Linked DNA regions of Pelodiscus sinensis. The protein of the gene in region 1 purifies or fractionates together with the protein of each later gene. This does not show direct contact. Links are inferred from orthologs where the notes say so. Each region holds a gene or a part of one and is shown in the gene's direction. Other genes may lie near its edges.

The links. Proteins that work in one complex are often made in the same cells at the same time.
Region 2: the proteins of ZNF830 (region 1) and PPIL2 purify together in Homo sapiens (co-immunoprecipitation; 4 studies listed by BioGRID and IntAct, counting the BioPlex papers as one, with this or other methods). This does not show direct contact. The link is inferred for Pelodiscus sinensis from reciprocal best matches to the Homo sapiens genes ZNF830 and PPIL2.

What each region holds. Positions count from the first base shown.
Region 1 is NC_134712.1:149,974,830-149,982,130, reverse strand, and holds the start of ZNF830 (zinc finger protein 830), read left to right. Parts: upstream 1-4,288; 5' UTR 4,289-5,268; coding exon 5,269-5,385; intron 5,386-6,419; coding exon 6,420-6,515; intron 6,516-7,301. Other genes in the region: BAG1 (BAG family molecular chaperone regulator 1), read left to right, coding at 838-927.
Region 2 is NC_134725.1:17,530,112-17,538,060, reverse strand, and holds the start of PPIL2 (RING-type E3 ubiquitin-protein ligase PPIL2), read left to right. Parts: upstream 1-4,941; 5' UTR 4,942-5,131; coding exon 5,132-5,163; intron 5,164-6,413; coding exon 6,414-6,463; intron 6,464-7,847; coding exon 7,848-7,893; intron 7,894-7,949. UniProt on the Homo sapiens protein: Has a ubiquitin-protein ligase activity acting as an E3 ubiquitin protein ligase or as an ubiquitin-ubiquitin ligase promoting elongation of ubiquitin chains on substrates.

The sequences.
Region 1 (7,301 bases):
GGAGGAGTGTCTTAACAGTACTGCCCTTGCACTGGGAGATGTAAGATTTATAGCAGGAGTGGGGGATCTAAGGCCCGGAGGCTGGATCTGGCCCCAAAGGCTCGAAGCTACCTCCCACAGCATTAGGGAGCCCGCATGGTGCTCCAACTCCCCTGCCATCCTCCTGCAGGGCTGGAGCATACAAAATCTACTAGCCTGAGCCCTCCAAGGCTCTGGTGTACCAGGGGAATATGGGAAGTGTCATTCTCCTTCTCAGTCAGGGACCACATCAGACAGGGTAGTTTTTTGTTGGTTTTTTTTGTTTCTCATTTGTGTGCAGCCCCCAACTGATTTTCCTGTGGGTCAGTGGCCCCCAACCCAAAAAGTTCTCCACCTCTGATTTATAGGTTTAGTGAAGATTGCTTAGTTTGGTTTGGTACAGCTTTAAGTGGACTTTGCAGTATTGGTGTTAGACATGTTATATACATGAGAAAATAGGAAAGGGGATTATAGTTAACAACAAAAAGCAGGTCACCACTTGTCCGAGCGTGTTCTCTTCCCCTCTCCCCCCAATTGCTGATTGGTGATGCTAAATACTGTTGATCTGTTGGCACTGCTGTTTTCATTGAGCTGATAAATTAGATTTCTACTGGGGAATGAATGAATGAAGGAAATTTTCTGTTCACTTAAGTTCTAGCAAAAGTTGTGACCATTGCAGAAGCCAAAAGAAACTGGAGTTGACTTTACTTCCAACTTCATAATAGGAACATTCCAATTAAAAAAATTATTGGGAAGCAGTTTGTCATTCTAGAGTAATTTGCACTCTTAACTTTTTGTGTGTGTTAATTTTATTCTCAGGCTTTTCTTGCCCAGTGTGATACTGTTGAAGGAAGTATTGGTCAAGAAATGGATAAGCTACAATCAAAGAACTTGGCTCTGGCAGAATGAGGCATCACTCTTGATAAATAGGAGAAATAATTGCTCTGTGAGCAAGAAGAGGAGTTTGCTCTTTGTTTTGGAGCACATATTCAGCTATTTGGTGGTTTTTTTTTAAGCCCAGTCTGTTTAGACTGGTACTAGTCACTCATTACTTGCTGGTTGTCACATTTACCACTCATTCAAAGCTATTCTTTTCAAAAGAAAACAATCCTTCCTGAAGAAAAAAAGTCTTTGATGGGTGGTGATGCATGTTTTAGTTAACTACATACTGTAGCACATTATACAGTTCCAAGAGGTGGGCAAGTTTGGATCATTATATTCTTTTTACAAAGACATTTTTTTAAATTAAGTTTTTCTCAATTCTTATCTTTTCCATTATGTCTTCAAAATTATTTGCAGCTCAAGAAGTTTGAAAACCGTACAAGAGCATATGTTGCAGTTGTAGGACTTTAGCTTGACTGAAAAAAGCAGGTTTATACAATAGTTGGGACATCTAGCATTCGAATAGAACATTTAGAGCAATAAATAGTATCCTGCATCTGTACCAGTTTAATACTTGTATGTGTTCATAAGCATAGGAAAACTTGACTACAGTGGAGGTTGTAACTATTTTAGCCTTAAACTATCAAAATAAATGGAATGTACTGTAACATGTATGGTACTTAATTTAACTGTTTAATTTTCAGTGAATGCATTGGCACTTTTTTCTTGATACGTATTTTGTTATACTGTGTACACAGCGTGTATTTGTTTTCTGTAGTATACTTTTCCTTTGAGTAATGGTGTGAAATGCAACTGGATAATTCATGTTGCTTATATAAGAAGTGGGCAGTCCAATCAAGCTCTGAAAATGGTGCTATTTTATCAGAGTATTTTTGACTGTTTCACTGATTTGCTGTATTTTAGAGAAAATTGCAAGTAATTATCTCTGTTCCCTTTGGAGTTAGTGGATGAATATTTATTAATCTAATGTCTATTATAAAGTAAAATTGTAAAACAATTTTTTAAAAATATTCTGCCACTGATAGCATCTCTTTAACAAGAGTTGCCATTTCACTGCTATTTCTACTTGGAAGTCCTGTGTGACATGTGGCAGTTTGTGACCAAGAAAGCATTTATCAACAAGCACTTGATCTGGTGGCAAACAAGCTCCCTTAACTCTCTCTGGATTCTGTGAAAGTTAAGGGTGTTCTGCATTGCTTGCCAGATGAGAGCATGAGAATCTCTGTGTTTTACGACTGTTTTAAGGTAAGTTCTCTTTACCAGAAAAAAAAATGAAAATATAAGCATTGAACATATTTCAGTTATGTTAAATAATTCCTAATAAAATAAGATCTCAAAATAGTGATAGTCCTCTAATATTTCTCCTACAGTCATAATCAGAGGAAAATTGTTAGTGTCGCAATCTGTTAGCAGATGGGCAATATGGCACTTCTGTATCTTTTTAACAGTTAGTAGTTTGTTATAAAGTTTTTTAAAATGTTATATTATACCAAATATAATTAGATGAAGTGAACATATTTTTCAGTTACATTGCATTTTTCTGTTAAATTGCAGTATTTCTTTAAGGTTTTATCAGTTTACCATAGTACACTCACTTATGATAGTCTGTAAAATCTGCAGTAGACTGAAACTTGACGGATAAGCTCTTGATTTGAAATGAATGTATTTTGTTTTTCATTACTAATCCTTAGAAAGCTGTTTTTAAGATAGGAAGTAATTATATTTTCTGGTTACTGTGATAGCATTCAGGGCTAGCAGTATGGTCATGCTGCCATATTTGCTTGGGACTGCAATGCTATGGAGAGGAGCAGACCTGTATTCATTTCAGTGATGCTCTGATTCAGTATAGCCAGTGTTGCTTCTGGGACAGATCCTGCTACCATTGAAATCAATGGCAAAACTACCAATGAATTCAGTGGGTGCAGGATCAAACTCTTTATCAAGTGAGGAATTAGTCCTCACCTGCTCTAAATATAATCATGATTTTAATTTAGTAAACTTTTAGGGGTTCATGTAATAGAGACCGATTTCCCTCTTTGAGCAGAACTGGGCTGGGCAGGGTTAGATATAAATGCTGTTCCTTAGTAGTTCTTCATCCTTGGGATGTAAGTGACTAGTTGACTGATAAGCAAATGCTTATCCGATAGTTGACTCAAATAGTCACTCCCCCCCATTAGAGACAGGCAGCAAGGAGGGAGAGAGGGAAGCAGAATTCGGTGCTGTGCGGAGCCAGCTTAAAAGCCATTTCCCCCCAACACTGTCTCTGTGAGGAAAAGGGGAGGGGATGCAATGGGGAACTAGCAGCACTTCTGCATTTGAAACATAGCAAGATCAGAAGCACTGTGGGGAGCCTGGGGCAAGCTGGGGACTCTCAGTCCCCTGCTGGCCTGTTCTCCCTGCTTTTGAAATGTACAAGAGCCCCAGGAGGTGCATGCCAAAACTAACAACATTCTTTGAGCTACAGAACCTCAGAATTATAGAATCTCTTGCTCCTAAACGTCTGAGTAACTTAAAATATCAAACTTTTAGTGGTGTTCTTTATGACCCAACTTCTGCTGCTAGTATAGTGGTGTTAATCTGTAATAATTCTTTTGACTTCATTGGAGTTATTCTCAATTTGCATTGGCCCATGGGACAGTACAGAATTTGGCTGGATATTTTTATTTCAGTTATTGAGCTACAGTAAATGAAGGAGGGAAATAAAATTAAATATGGAAAATACAATAAATGTTTGTTTTTGTGATTATTGTGATATAGTACAGAACTCATGCTGATTAATCTATTGACTGTTGATTCTGTACTTAAATGTATAGCAACTTCATTCTATGTAAGTTTTAGAGCAGTGTTTCTCAACCTTTTTTATAAAGTACCACTTTAAAAAATTATAAGTACCCCCCTTTAAAAAATTTATAGGGACCCCCAGTACCTATAGTTTTCAGACACACTTTTTTTCTACCATTGTTTAAACAACTTAATCATAGCCTGGCAGGTGATGAAATTTTTGGGTGTAAAAAGTACAAAAGTAATAAAGTGCTGTAAAACTTTACAAAACAAAAATTCAGTTTTCTCCAATTTTCAGTTGTGTTGATGTACCCCCAAGACTTCTCTTATACCACTAGTTGAGAAACACCATTTTAGAGAATCTACTTGTAACGGAGTTGTATTACTTCTTATGAATAGGATACCTTGGCACATCTCTTCCTATAATGATGTAAGTAATTAAGAATGTTTCACTTACTGAGGCTGGCATGAACAATGGAAGATATAGACAAGTGCTTGCCAAACTCTATTTTCGCACAAAACCAAACAATTATAAAAGGAGAAAGCAGCGATAGATTTAAGGCCCAGTATCCTCTTGATTAGCTGCTGGGGAGGGGATGGTCAGATGTATAGGAAAGTTAGTGATATCTATAAAAATGTGTACAGCCTCTCCCCAAGGCCGTAACGTGATCTGTTCGTAACTCGGACCCCATTGAGTTACATAGTGACCACGCTGTTTGCAAGCCCAGGTTGTGTTCTGACTCAGGGACCGCCTTTACGACCAAAACTTCCATGGAGCAGTCGTAAACGTGAACAGTCGTAACTTGACCGTTTGCAACTTGGGGACCGGCTGTACTTATAGTTTAGGCTTCTCACAGAGCATTCAAAACAATTTCAGGCTGTTAAAGCCTGGCCAGGGGGCTCAATCAGTGTTGTAACCTAACTCCTCTAAACAAAACGATGCTTTGAATTCAGGCAAAGTGCTGAATTTTAAAAAAGTGTGGGTGGGGGGTGACGATGGGTTTGCATAGTCAACTGCTAAGGAAACCCGTCCTTTGGGCTTCCCAAAATCTTCATCTGCAGCTTTCTAACAGAACCACGTGTGCTGCTCTGAGCGGCCGGGCAGGAAGCCTGTCTCTGACGTGACCACCCTGACTTGCGTGAAGCTGCGACAACAAAGCCAGTGACACACGGAACCAGCTCCAGTGTTTGCACCACGGAGACACCAGCTAATGCTCTGCCCTGGACAAGGGCTCAGGGCGGGGCAAGACGAGTGGCTCCAAGGGGGGGAGAGACGCCCCCGCTGCCTCCCTTCTGCTTTCCCACCGCGGCGGCGTTTAGCGTTGGGGGCGGGGCGCTCTCAGGACAGTAGCCCCGCCACGTGCAGCGCGCCCCCGCAACGGACGCAGGCTCCCGCGGCCAGAGCTCGCGCCCCACTAGGACAGGAAGGAAGAGGCACGTGCCATAGCAACTCCGCGTCTAGCTTCGCCCTTCCCCTAGCGCAAGACCGGGGGAAGAGGCGGGACTTGGTGTGTCTCCCCCTTCCGCCGGAAGTGGCTGCGTCTCCGGAGGCAGTTCCGGGCCAAGATGGCGTCGGGCTCGGGGCGGAAGCTGGTACAGCAGGACGAGCTGCGGCGTCTCATGCGGGAGAAGCAGCGACAGGGCGCCGGAAAGAAGCGAATCGAGGCGCCGTTCGCTAAATATCCTTCCGCTTCCCCCCCCCCGACCCGTGCACGTATGAGGGGCCACACACACCCCCATTGCGGGAAGGGGAGTCGTTGTTTAGTGCTCGCCGGGAGCCCGTCTCGCGCCGCCGCGCGGTTCCCTGCTGGCCTGTGTCTCGCGCTCGGCAACCTCGTGCCGGGCTGGTCCGCGGTGTTCTCCTCCAACGCCCCGCCCCGCCCCGGACGCAGGGTCCCACCTGCCCCTGCGCCAGCCCCCTCCTCTTCCTGGCGGCTGCAGGGCCGGCCGGGCTGCTCTGGGCTCCCGGCAAGTGTCGAGTTTGCGACGCTCCCGCCACCCTCAAACTGTAAAACATTTGCAGAGGTGCATGGGCTTGTACAGCCCCCTCCCCCCGAACAGTGACAGGCCCGGGCGCAGGGGCAATGCCCCCTCCCCTTCCTCCCCCCCATGTGCGGAATAACTTTTGTTAGGTGCGCTGAGGTATGTAAGGATGCCACCACCAATAGAAACACAAGCTGCTGGCTATGGGCGTTGCCGAGCGGCATTTGGTGCTCCACTTACAGAGAACGTTGGTTGGTTAGGGGCTGGTTTCCCTGCTTTCCTTAGCAGTGTGTTGCAGCTTTGAAGAGATTGTTACAGTGATGTTTTGCTTTGCTCTTAGCCAGCGTGGACAGTGATGCTATCTGTCAATTTCACATGTTTTTAGACATGGCTTCAATTCTAAAGTGGCTCCTAAATTTTATTGGTTCATGTACCATCTTACAATTTTTTTTGTCAGAGGTAACAATTTGGGTACTCCTGCATATGACAGCATAATGTTTTGTTTACACGACACGGGAGTCTTTAAACAGAAATAGCTTTTTATTGGTATACAAAAAATTATAAAATTCTGGCATGTAATAGTAATGACATTTAAAAAAAATACCTACATCGTGGGCTTCACTTCCCCCTTTGAAAATAGTGTTTTTAAATTATCTACAAATTGGAAATTCAGAATTACAATTTTGAAGACTGTGTGATCTTGAAATATTTCCTCAACTTTGAAATGTACATATAACCGTTTAGGACACTTAAGTTGTACATTGTGCAACACTCAGATTAAGAATGAACTTTTGTGGCAAACTCACATACTTGGGAAACAACACAAAGAGGTAAGACTTTGAAGATACAGCAACATTTATGAGTTAATTCATAATCCTTCTGTTTGAGTAAGTTGTACAACTTATAGATTAGATAAAAGTTCAGAAATTTCCCATTTGAGTTCTTTTAGAACCCTTGGATGAATGCCATCCGGTCCCGGAGATTTGTTAACATTAAGTTTTTCTATTTGTTCCAAAACCTCCTCTAATGACACTTCAATCCAGGACAGTTCCTCAGATTCATCACTCACAAAGGACGGTGCAGATTTGGGAATCTCCCCCAACGTCCTCAGCCGTGAAGACTGAAGCAAAGAAATCATTTAGTTTCTCTGCAATGGCTTTATCGTCCTTGATCGCTCCTTTTATAGTTCGATCATCTAGGGGACCCACAGGTTTTTTAGCAGGCTTCCTGCTTCTAATGTACTTAAAAAACATTTTGTTGTTTCTTTTTGAGTTTTTGGCTAGCTTTTCCTCAAAATCTTTTTTTGCTTTTCTTATTACATTTTTACACTTTTTTGACAGTGTTTATGTTCCTTTCTATTTATCTCACTAGGATTGGACTTCCACTTCTTAAAAGATACCTTTTTGTCCCTCACTGCTTCTTTTACATGGTGATTAAGCCACGGTGACTCTTTTTTAGGTCTCTTGCTATGTTTTTTAATTTGGGGTATACATTTAAGTTGGGCTTTTATTATGGTGTCTTTAAAATGTTTCCATACAGCTTGCAGGGATTTGGCTACAGTCACTGTGCCTTTTAACCTCCTCATTTTTGTGTAATTCCCCTTTTTGAATTTAAAT
Region 2 (7,949 bases), on another chromosome or scaffold:
CCCCAGTTGACCCCAGGCTCTGTGTAGGGTTGCTGCTTTGAAATGCTGCATGCAGCCTGAGGACACCCTAGCTGGCTCCAAGCTGCACGTGGCATTTCAAAGTGGCAGCACCGTGTGGAGCCCAGGGTCTGGTCCCAGGCTCCATGTGGCGCTGCCTCTTTGAAGCACTCCCTCCCCTTGTTGTCTCTTTTTGATAGACAAGCTTGTAGACTATCTGATAAGCATTTGCTTATCGGATCGTTGACTAGTTCTTCACATCCCTAGTAGTGTGCATAGTCCTGTTATGTAACTAAAATGTACATTATATAGTGATTTTGTGAAAAGTTTTCTGCAAATAAGACTTCTGATATATAAATGAGAACTAGAGAAGTATAATGTTGCTCTATAATGCAATATAGAAAAAATATTAATACCCAGGGCTCACCAAGCAGCAGCGAGCCTCACTTGCCAGCCGCGCGGAACTGCACGCTGCGCATGCACTGTCCACGCTGCGCAGCCGTGCTGGGCTAAAATCTACTCACCACAGGCAAGTAGATTACATGGGATCTTTTTCAGGGAGAAGGCAATACACCGTGTTTATTGAGAATACAGTAGAGAAGCAGTTAGCAAATGCTTTATAAAGACACGCACGCACACACAAACACACACACGTGTCCTGCAGATGGGGCATAGTTACCAGTCCATGGTGGCTCAAGTCAGTCCTATTGGCTAAGCAAGGCTGACTGAGTGAGGAGTCGGGGTTCCTCTGAGACTCCCCCGAGGCTTGGCTTGCAGGACGGAACCCAGAGTCCCATGGCAAGGGCTTCCCTTCTTATCCATATCAGTTGGAGTCTGTGGGTTTTGCAGTGTCATCCGCCCTTAGGCGGTGTTCTCATTATTGTTTCTCACTCTTGGTGGGGGTCTCTGCCTGTCTCCAGGGTTTGTCAATGCTGCCAATTCAATTCAGCCTCAAGAAACAATGGATGTTTCAAAGTTTCCACTTCTCCTTGATCACCTGGGCATCTTTCACACACATCCCCTCCATTCATACCAAACAATTGTATAGAATTTCAAACAAGATCAATAACTAAAAGGGGTACAACTTAATTGGCAATACTGAACAGGGAGCAAGGCCTTACACTGAACATTATCTAATCATGAGAGATACACAGAGAGAAATAGAAGCTATAGAACTTATAAGCAAGTCATTACATCAAATCATTATGTATCATACTTATAATCTTATAATCAGTATCAAAATATGCATGTTTGCTACAACTAGTCCAGCAACATCTGAGAGTCCCAAACCAGAGGTTGAACTTGTACTTTGATTTTTTTTAAGATAACTTGATTTTTAGCAGTTTTGGAAATAGTACATAATACTCATTATCTATGTCAAGCTGCAGTTGCTGCAGGTGCAGCACATTAGGAATAAGAACTAAATCACACATACAAACACAAGAGCACTTACATTTTATTAAACTAAATTTTAAATGTCAGAAATTCACATTTGCAATTGCAGCAGTGTCCTGAGTTCTTCCCTGTAGCATAGATGTGCTCTTACAGGGGCTATGTACACTGAACACTTAACAGTATTTACACTTCTTTAAAATAAAAACTTTAAAAGGATAAGCTCTAAGACTAAAAAGAGAATGCAGGAACAAGCCCATCACCAACAGCGGGGGCTATCCTATCCTATTCATTGCACTCAATGTAGCATGTATGATTATTTGTCCTATATGTAGGTGCAAGGAGCTCCTGACCCCCAAGGACTTTGGAAGACCATGATGGCTGAATTGGAGGAGCTAAGGAATGCAGAGAGATTCATAGATGAGACTTTCCAGGACTCAAGAGAATGATCCCATCCCTGGTCACACAGCCTCTGTGCTGTTGAGGAGAGTGAGTCTCAAGAAACAGAACTTGCAGTCATTGTGAATGAGTGGGTGTTTCCAGAGAACCAATGTGCAGCAGCAGTCAAAAAATCAAACAGACTATTGGATATAATAAAAAAAGGGATAGCGTAAAGACACATAATATCTTATTACTTCTATATAACTTCATGGTATACCCACATCTTGAGTATTGCATGCAAATGTTGTCGTCTTATCTAAAAAAAAAAAATGCTGTATACATCAGATACAAGTTTATAACTAATCAGGGCATATCAGCAAACAACCACCTTACGTTATCATAGTCATGGGGAAAGTTCAACTATCCAGACATCTGATGGGAAAATAGCACAGCAGGACGTGTTCTTGGAATGAATTGGAGACGATATTTTGTTTCAGAAAATGGAGAAAGCTTCTAGGGGAGCTGTTCTAGATTTGGTTATGACAAACTGGTTGAGAATGCAAAAGTGAAAGGCACTTTGAGTGAAAGTAATCATAAAACAACTGAGTTAATAACTTTACGGAAGAGGGGCAGGGAGAACTGCAAAATAAAGACAATGGATTTAAAGAGGACAGATGTTAGCAAACTCATGGAGATGATAAGGTCCTATAGGAAGCAAGTTCACGAGGGAGGGGGAGGAAATTTGAAGACAGCTGGCAGTTTTTCCCATTGGGTAGAAAAGACTAGGGCTATATCTATAATGCCCCTGTTTTTCATAAAAAATATGGAAACAAGGCAAAGCGTGGAATATTGCTGTGCCTCATTTGCATAATTAATTAGGCTCCATTTTTGCACAAGAAGCATTTGCGCAAAAAGAATCCATTTACATGGCCCCTTTTTTTCGCAAAACCCCCTCTTGTGCAAGAGCCATTCTTTCTGAAAAAATGCAGACGAACAGCTCTTGTGCAAGAGGGGTTTTTGCACAAAAAGGAGTGGTATAGATGGCTCCCTTTTGCGTAAAAGCTTCTTGTGCAAAAAAGGAGCCTGATTAATTATGCAAATGAGGCACTGTGATAGTCCATGCTTTGCCTCATTTGCATATTCTGCGCAAGAGGCTATAGCGTAGATATAGCCTAGAAGTACAGCAAGAGAGAGCTGTGGCTTATCCATGGTGTCCCCAGTGATCTAAAAACCCAGAAAGAGTCCCACAAAAGGTTGTAAACTAGGTCAAACTACAAGGATGAATATAAGCAAACAACACAAGTGTTTAGGCACAAAATTAGAAAGGCCGAGATACAAAGCAACCTCATTCTAATTAGAGACAAAAAGGGTAACAAGAACACATTGTATAGAAAAGACCAAAGTACAGGGTAGGCCTATTCTATGAGGGGGAAAAACAATAAAAGAAAATGTGGAAATGAAAGAGGTGCTTAATGGATTGTTTTGGTTTCACCAACAAGGTTGGTGGTGATTGGATGCTAAACATAGTGTAGACCAGAGACAATGAGGTAGGATTAGATGCAAAAAAAGGAAAAGAACAAGTTAAAAATTATTTAGAGAAATTAGATGTCTTCGGGTCATTGGAGTCTGATGGAACACATCCTAGAATACGCAAAGAGATGACTAAGCTGGTACCTGAGCCATTAACTATTATCTTTGAAGTCATGGAAGATGGCAGAGTTTCCAGAAAACTGGAAAAGGGCAATAAGGATATTCATTTGTGTACTGGGAAAGATAGAGCAAATAAATAAGCAGTCATGTCAAACTAACGTGATAGCTTTGACAAGGTAACATGCCTTTTGAATGGGAGGGAAGTGATTGACATGGTATAGCTTGACTTTAGCAATGTTTTTGGTACTAATGAAACCATGATGAAGCTACAATACGGTGGGTGCCAAACTGTTCGGAAAATAGTGCCCAGGGTGTAGTTATCAGTAGTTTACAGTGATGCTATAAGGGCATAATGAGTGTTGTCCTGCAGTGATCAGTTCTAGATCCATTTCAATTCAAAATCTTTGTCACTGCTTTAGATAATGGCTTTGAGATGCGGGAGGGGCAATAACAGTAACAATCCCCCAAAACATGTGGACAGAAGCAGAGCGATGTAACCTGGGGAGCAAAGAGAGCTGGAGCCACCTTACTGTGCTTCCCCTGATGCTGCCAGTATGTGTGGGGATGAGGCAGGGCAAGGGCAGAGCCAGAAAGGGGAGGAATAGATGTGTGGGTTCTCTAGTCCAGGCCCTCCACATCCCCCCCTCATCAGTCACCTCTGCTTAGAGCGTGTCCTTATTAAGTTTGTGAATGATAACACATGGAGAGGGGTTTGCAAGTGGTTTGGGCCACATACTAAATACCAGTCAACAGTATAAAGGCAAAAATGGCAAACCTGTGTTGTAAGCAAGATGCAATAAGTAAAGAATGTGCTGTACTTTGCACTGATTAATCCTCAACTGGAGCACTGGGCAAGAAGCCTGAAACATGACAACAATCACTGGGTCTATAGAAATTGGCTACCTCTGGTATTAGTGTTTAACAATAGGACTGTGTCTACATTGGCATGATTTTGCGCAAAAGCAGTTGCTTTTCCACAAAAACATGCTGCCTGTCTACACTGGCGGGGAGTTCTTGTGCGAGAACACTGACGCGAGAACACTGACGGCTTCTTGCGCAAGAACTATGATGCTCCTGCTCAGGAGTAAGCCCTGTTGTGCAACTGTTCTTGCGCAAGAGGCCAGTGTAGACAGGCCACATGAATTTCTTGTGCAAGAAAGCCCGATAGCTAAAATGGCCATTGGAGCTTTCTTGTGCAAGAGAGTGTCTACACTGGCACGAATGCTCTTGCGCAAAGGCACATGCCACTGTAGACGTAGCCTAGCAGTTTCTTACACTTTATAACTATGTAGCTGCTCCCTGTAGGGTTGCGCTGCATTCGGTAGCAATGTCTTATAAGGGCAGCTGTCTTACAATCAAACCTGTCAGTAATTGCTACCAGGAGCAGCTCTATGCAAAGATGGTGCTACTTCCGGGAGCAATATATTATAGGAGCCGATCCTTACGAGCGTACCAATCAGAAACTGCTACGAGTAGCGGCGTCTCACACGGCCGCGGCTCTTTCCGGAACGGTGCTTGGGGCGCCCGGGTTGTACGGCGTGACTAGTTTAGCGGCGCACGCCGTACTACCGGAAGTCGCTGAGGTGCCCGGAACAGCCGGCTTAGCCCTGGGGGAGCTGGCCTGCCGGAGCTCGCTGGTCCGCCTCACTTCGGGGTCCCCCCTTGGCAGGGGGCGCGTTTCCTGCGCCGGGGAAGAGCCAGAACCGCCGCCATGGGGAAGAGGCAGCACCAGAAGGACAAGATGTGAGGAGGGGGGGGGCTGTTCTGGCGGGGCTCAAGGCGCGCGGACAGTGGCCGGGCCTGGCTCCCCGCGGTCCAGGCCGCTGTCGGGCGTGACAGGCCGTGGGGGTCCGAGCCCGCGCGTGCGGCTGTCTCGCGGGCAGCCCGCTAAGCCGCGCGGAGCGGCGCGTCCTCTGAGCCAGTGGCGGGACCGACCCCTTCCAGGCTCTCCCCCACGAGCGCTGCCCGGGCGGGGCCGGCAGGAGCAGGGTTTAGGCGCCGTTAGTCTAATGAAGGGGTGGAGGGTGGCGCAGGGGCATAAGTGGCAGGTGCGAAGAGGCAGCTGCTCCCCCTGGTTACACGATTACACACTAAGGGGCCTTTCTCCCCCCCCTTCTAACAGAGGCGGGGGGGCGGTGGCAGGCGTGGAAGCCAGTATGTGCAAGGAGCACTAGCTCCTGTTTCCTCCCACCCGCGTATGTAAACGTGTACTCGCTGAAAATTTATGCATTTTAAATAAACACATTTTAACACCTGTAGCTTGAAGATACTTAGAATTTGTCTGTACCGAGATGTCTGGGAAAGTTAATACAGATTAATTGAAGGTGTGAACTTGAAGTGATGCAACTTAAATCTGTGTGTCAACTCAGTTTCTACAAAGGGATTTAAATGGCACTTCAGATTCACATCTTTCACTTAATGTGAATCTTTTTTCTTGTGCCCCTTCCCCCGGCTAGTTCTTTATTCTCCCAGATCCAGAAGAAGCTAGATAGAACCAAGAACTTGTGTTCTGTACGAGAGCTTTTTGTAAGCTCACAGCTTGGTCAGGAGTTGGGGTATCTGTGTTAGGCACTGAAGAAAAGTTTGGCGTGGTAAATATAGAACAAAAGCTATAATAGTGACTTGTGGGTCAACCTTGTTCCTTTGCTTCAAGGCTTAATGCACAGTTTCCAGATGTTGTTATGGAATCATCCGTAGTGACAATAAAGCAAACAAAAGTGTCATCTGTGTTATAACTTGGTCTCTGGCATGATATGGTGGCAACATAGTATGTTTCTCTTTTTTTGTGGTATTGCCCCAAAGCTCTTCGTATTGGGAACATTGAGGTGTGACACCTAATATCAGAGTTGGCTATATTGGGTAAAAGTGTAAAAAAGGTAGCTAAGAATGTTTAATATCTCTTATTAATATAACTTTCAGTTTGAAAAATCATTGGTTTCTGCTAAATATCATTAGTGCAATGTATTAAGCATTAACACTGCTTTACTCTTTAGGTACATAACATGTGCAGAATATACACACTTTTATGGAGGAAAGAAAGCAGGTAAGTTACTGTGTTTTCTTTTTGTTATTTTTCACAATTATTTCTGATTTGTACATATGTTCACACTTCAGTGCTGATGTCTGTTTTTCTCTTCCTTATTCTTCTCTCATTGAAGTTGTGAAAGACCTCTTGGCTAAGTCTCAAGGCCTGCTTGCCATGCTCCCCCTCTTTCTGTTGCCTTTAAACTTGTTGACTGCTCTCTCTTTTATTGTGTCCTATCCTCCTTTCCTTCCTGGTTGAATCCTTTCCTGGATCTTGCTCTGACTTTCCAAACATGCATTCGGTACCTCTTTTTCTGTTTACCCTTTTATTTTGTTGGACTCTTTCAGGGTGCCATCCTTGCCGACTGTGCCTTCTCCCCTGATTATTTCATGTGTTTACATGCAATTACAGATCACTTTTGCATGAATGACTTTTAAATATTCTTCTTCCCTCTGGGCTTATATCCTTTTCTTAGCTTTGCTCTTTCCATTATCCCTGGAAATGTCATCCTGTATAGTTCACTGCCATTTCAATCTCAGTTTGGCTACATCAAAGCAGTTACAGTGGGATCCTGATGCTTGTAACCTGGGTGTTATATTTGATTCCACACTTCTCCCCTTACAGTCAGACTTCGGCTGAGTCTTGTCCTCCACAGAATTTGAAAATCTCACTCATTTCTCTCCCTATAACTGAATTTCTCATTCATGTCCTAGCAACATCTACACTTGTAATCTATTTTCAGGTCTCTAATGTTAACCATGTCCACAAAACCAAAATGCTCTTATTTCCACCACGTCATCCCAAGCTTCTCACTTTATGTCCACCAAACCTAAACTCCGTGACTTTGCCTACAGAGCCCTGTGTTCCATCTCTTTTCCTCATCCCCTCCGGCTCCCTGATGTCAGCGTAAACCTCTTTTGTTTCTTGCATCTCCACCCTTTTTTTAAGATTTAAAATTTCATGCTTGGAATGCCTTCCTCAAACTTACTTTCATGGAACATTTGACCTTTGATGTCTGTGCAAATTTTAAAAACGGACAAGAACATTTTTAAAAAGGGGGATAATGTAGCTATAAAACCTTCAGAATTTGACAGGGTGGAAGGATAGGCCAAGGCGTATCTCAATTACTTTAAAAGAATACTTTTCTAACTCTTCCCATTTTATTTGTGGAATAGAGTTTGGGTTTGCTCTGCACTGGTTTGTCAAGTTTTTATTTTTGTTAGTTTCACAGGATTTAGACTGTTTATCTTTGTCAGGACCAAATTGCCAACTTGATATATCGAAAACAGTAATTTCCAAATATATATCACCTAGTATTAATCATTAGTATCAGAAGCAAGTTTACTGCCCAAACTATTCTGGATTTATAAAAAGTTCTTTTGCTTTTTATTTTTTTAAACAGATATTCCACAAGCAAATTTTAGGCGTTTATCTTTTGATCACTGCAGGTAAGACATAATATCGTTCTTGTCTTGAACCGTTGACCAAATCATGTTTACTGTGG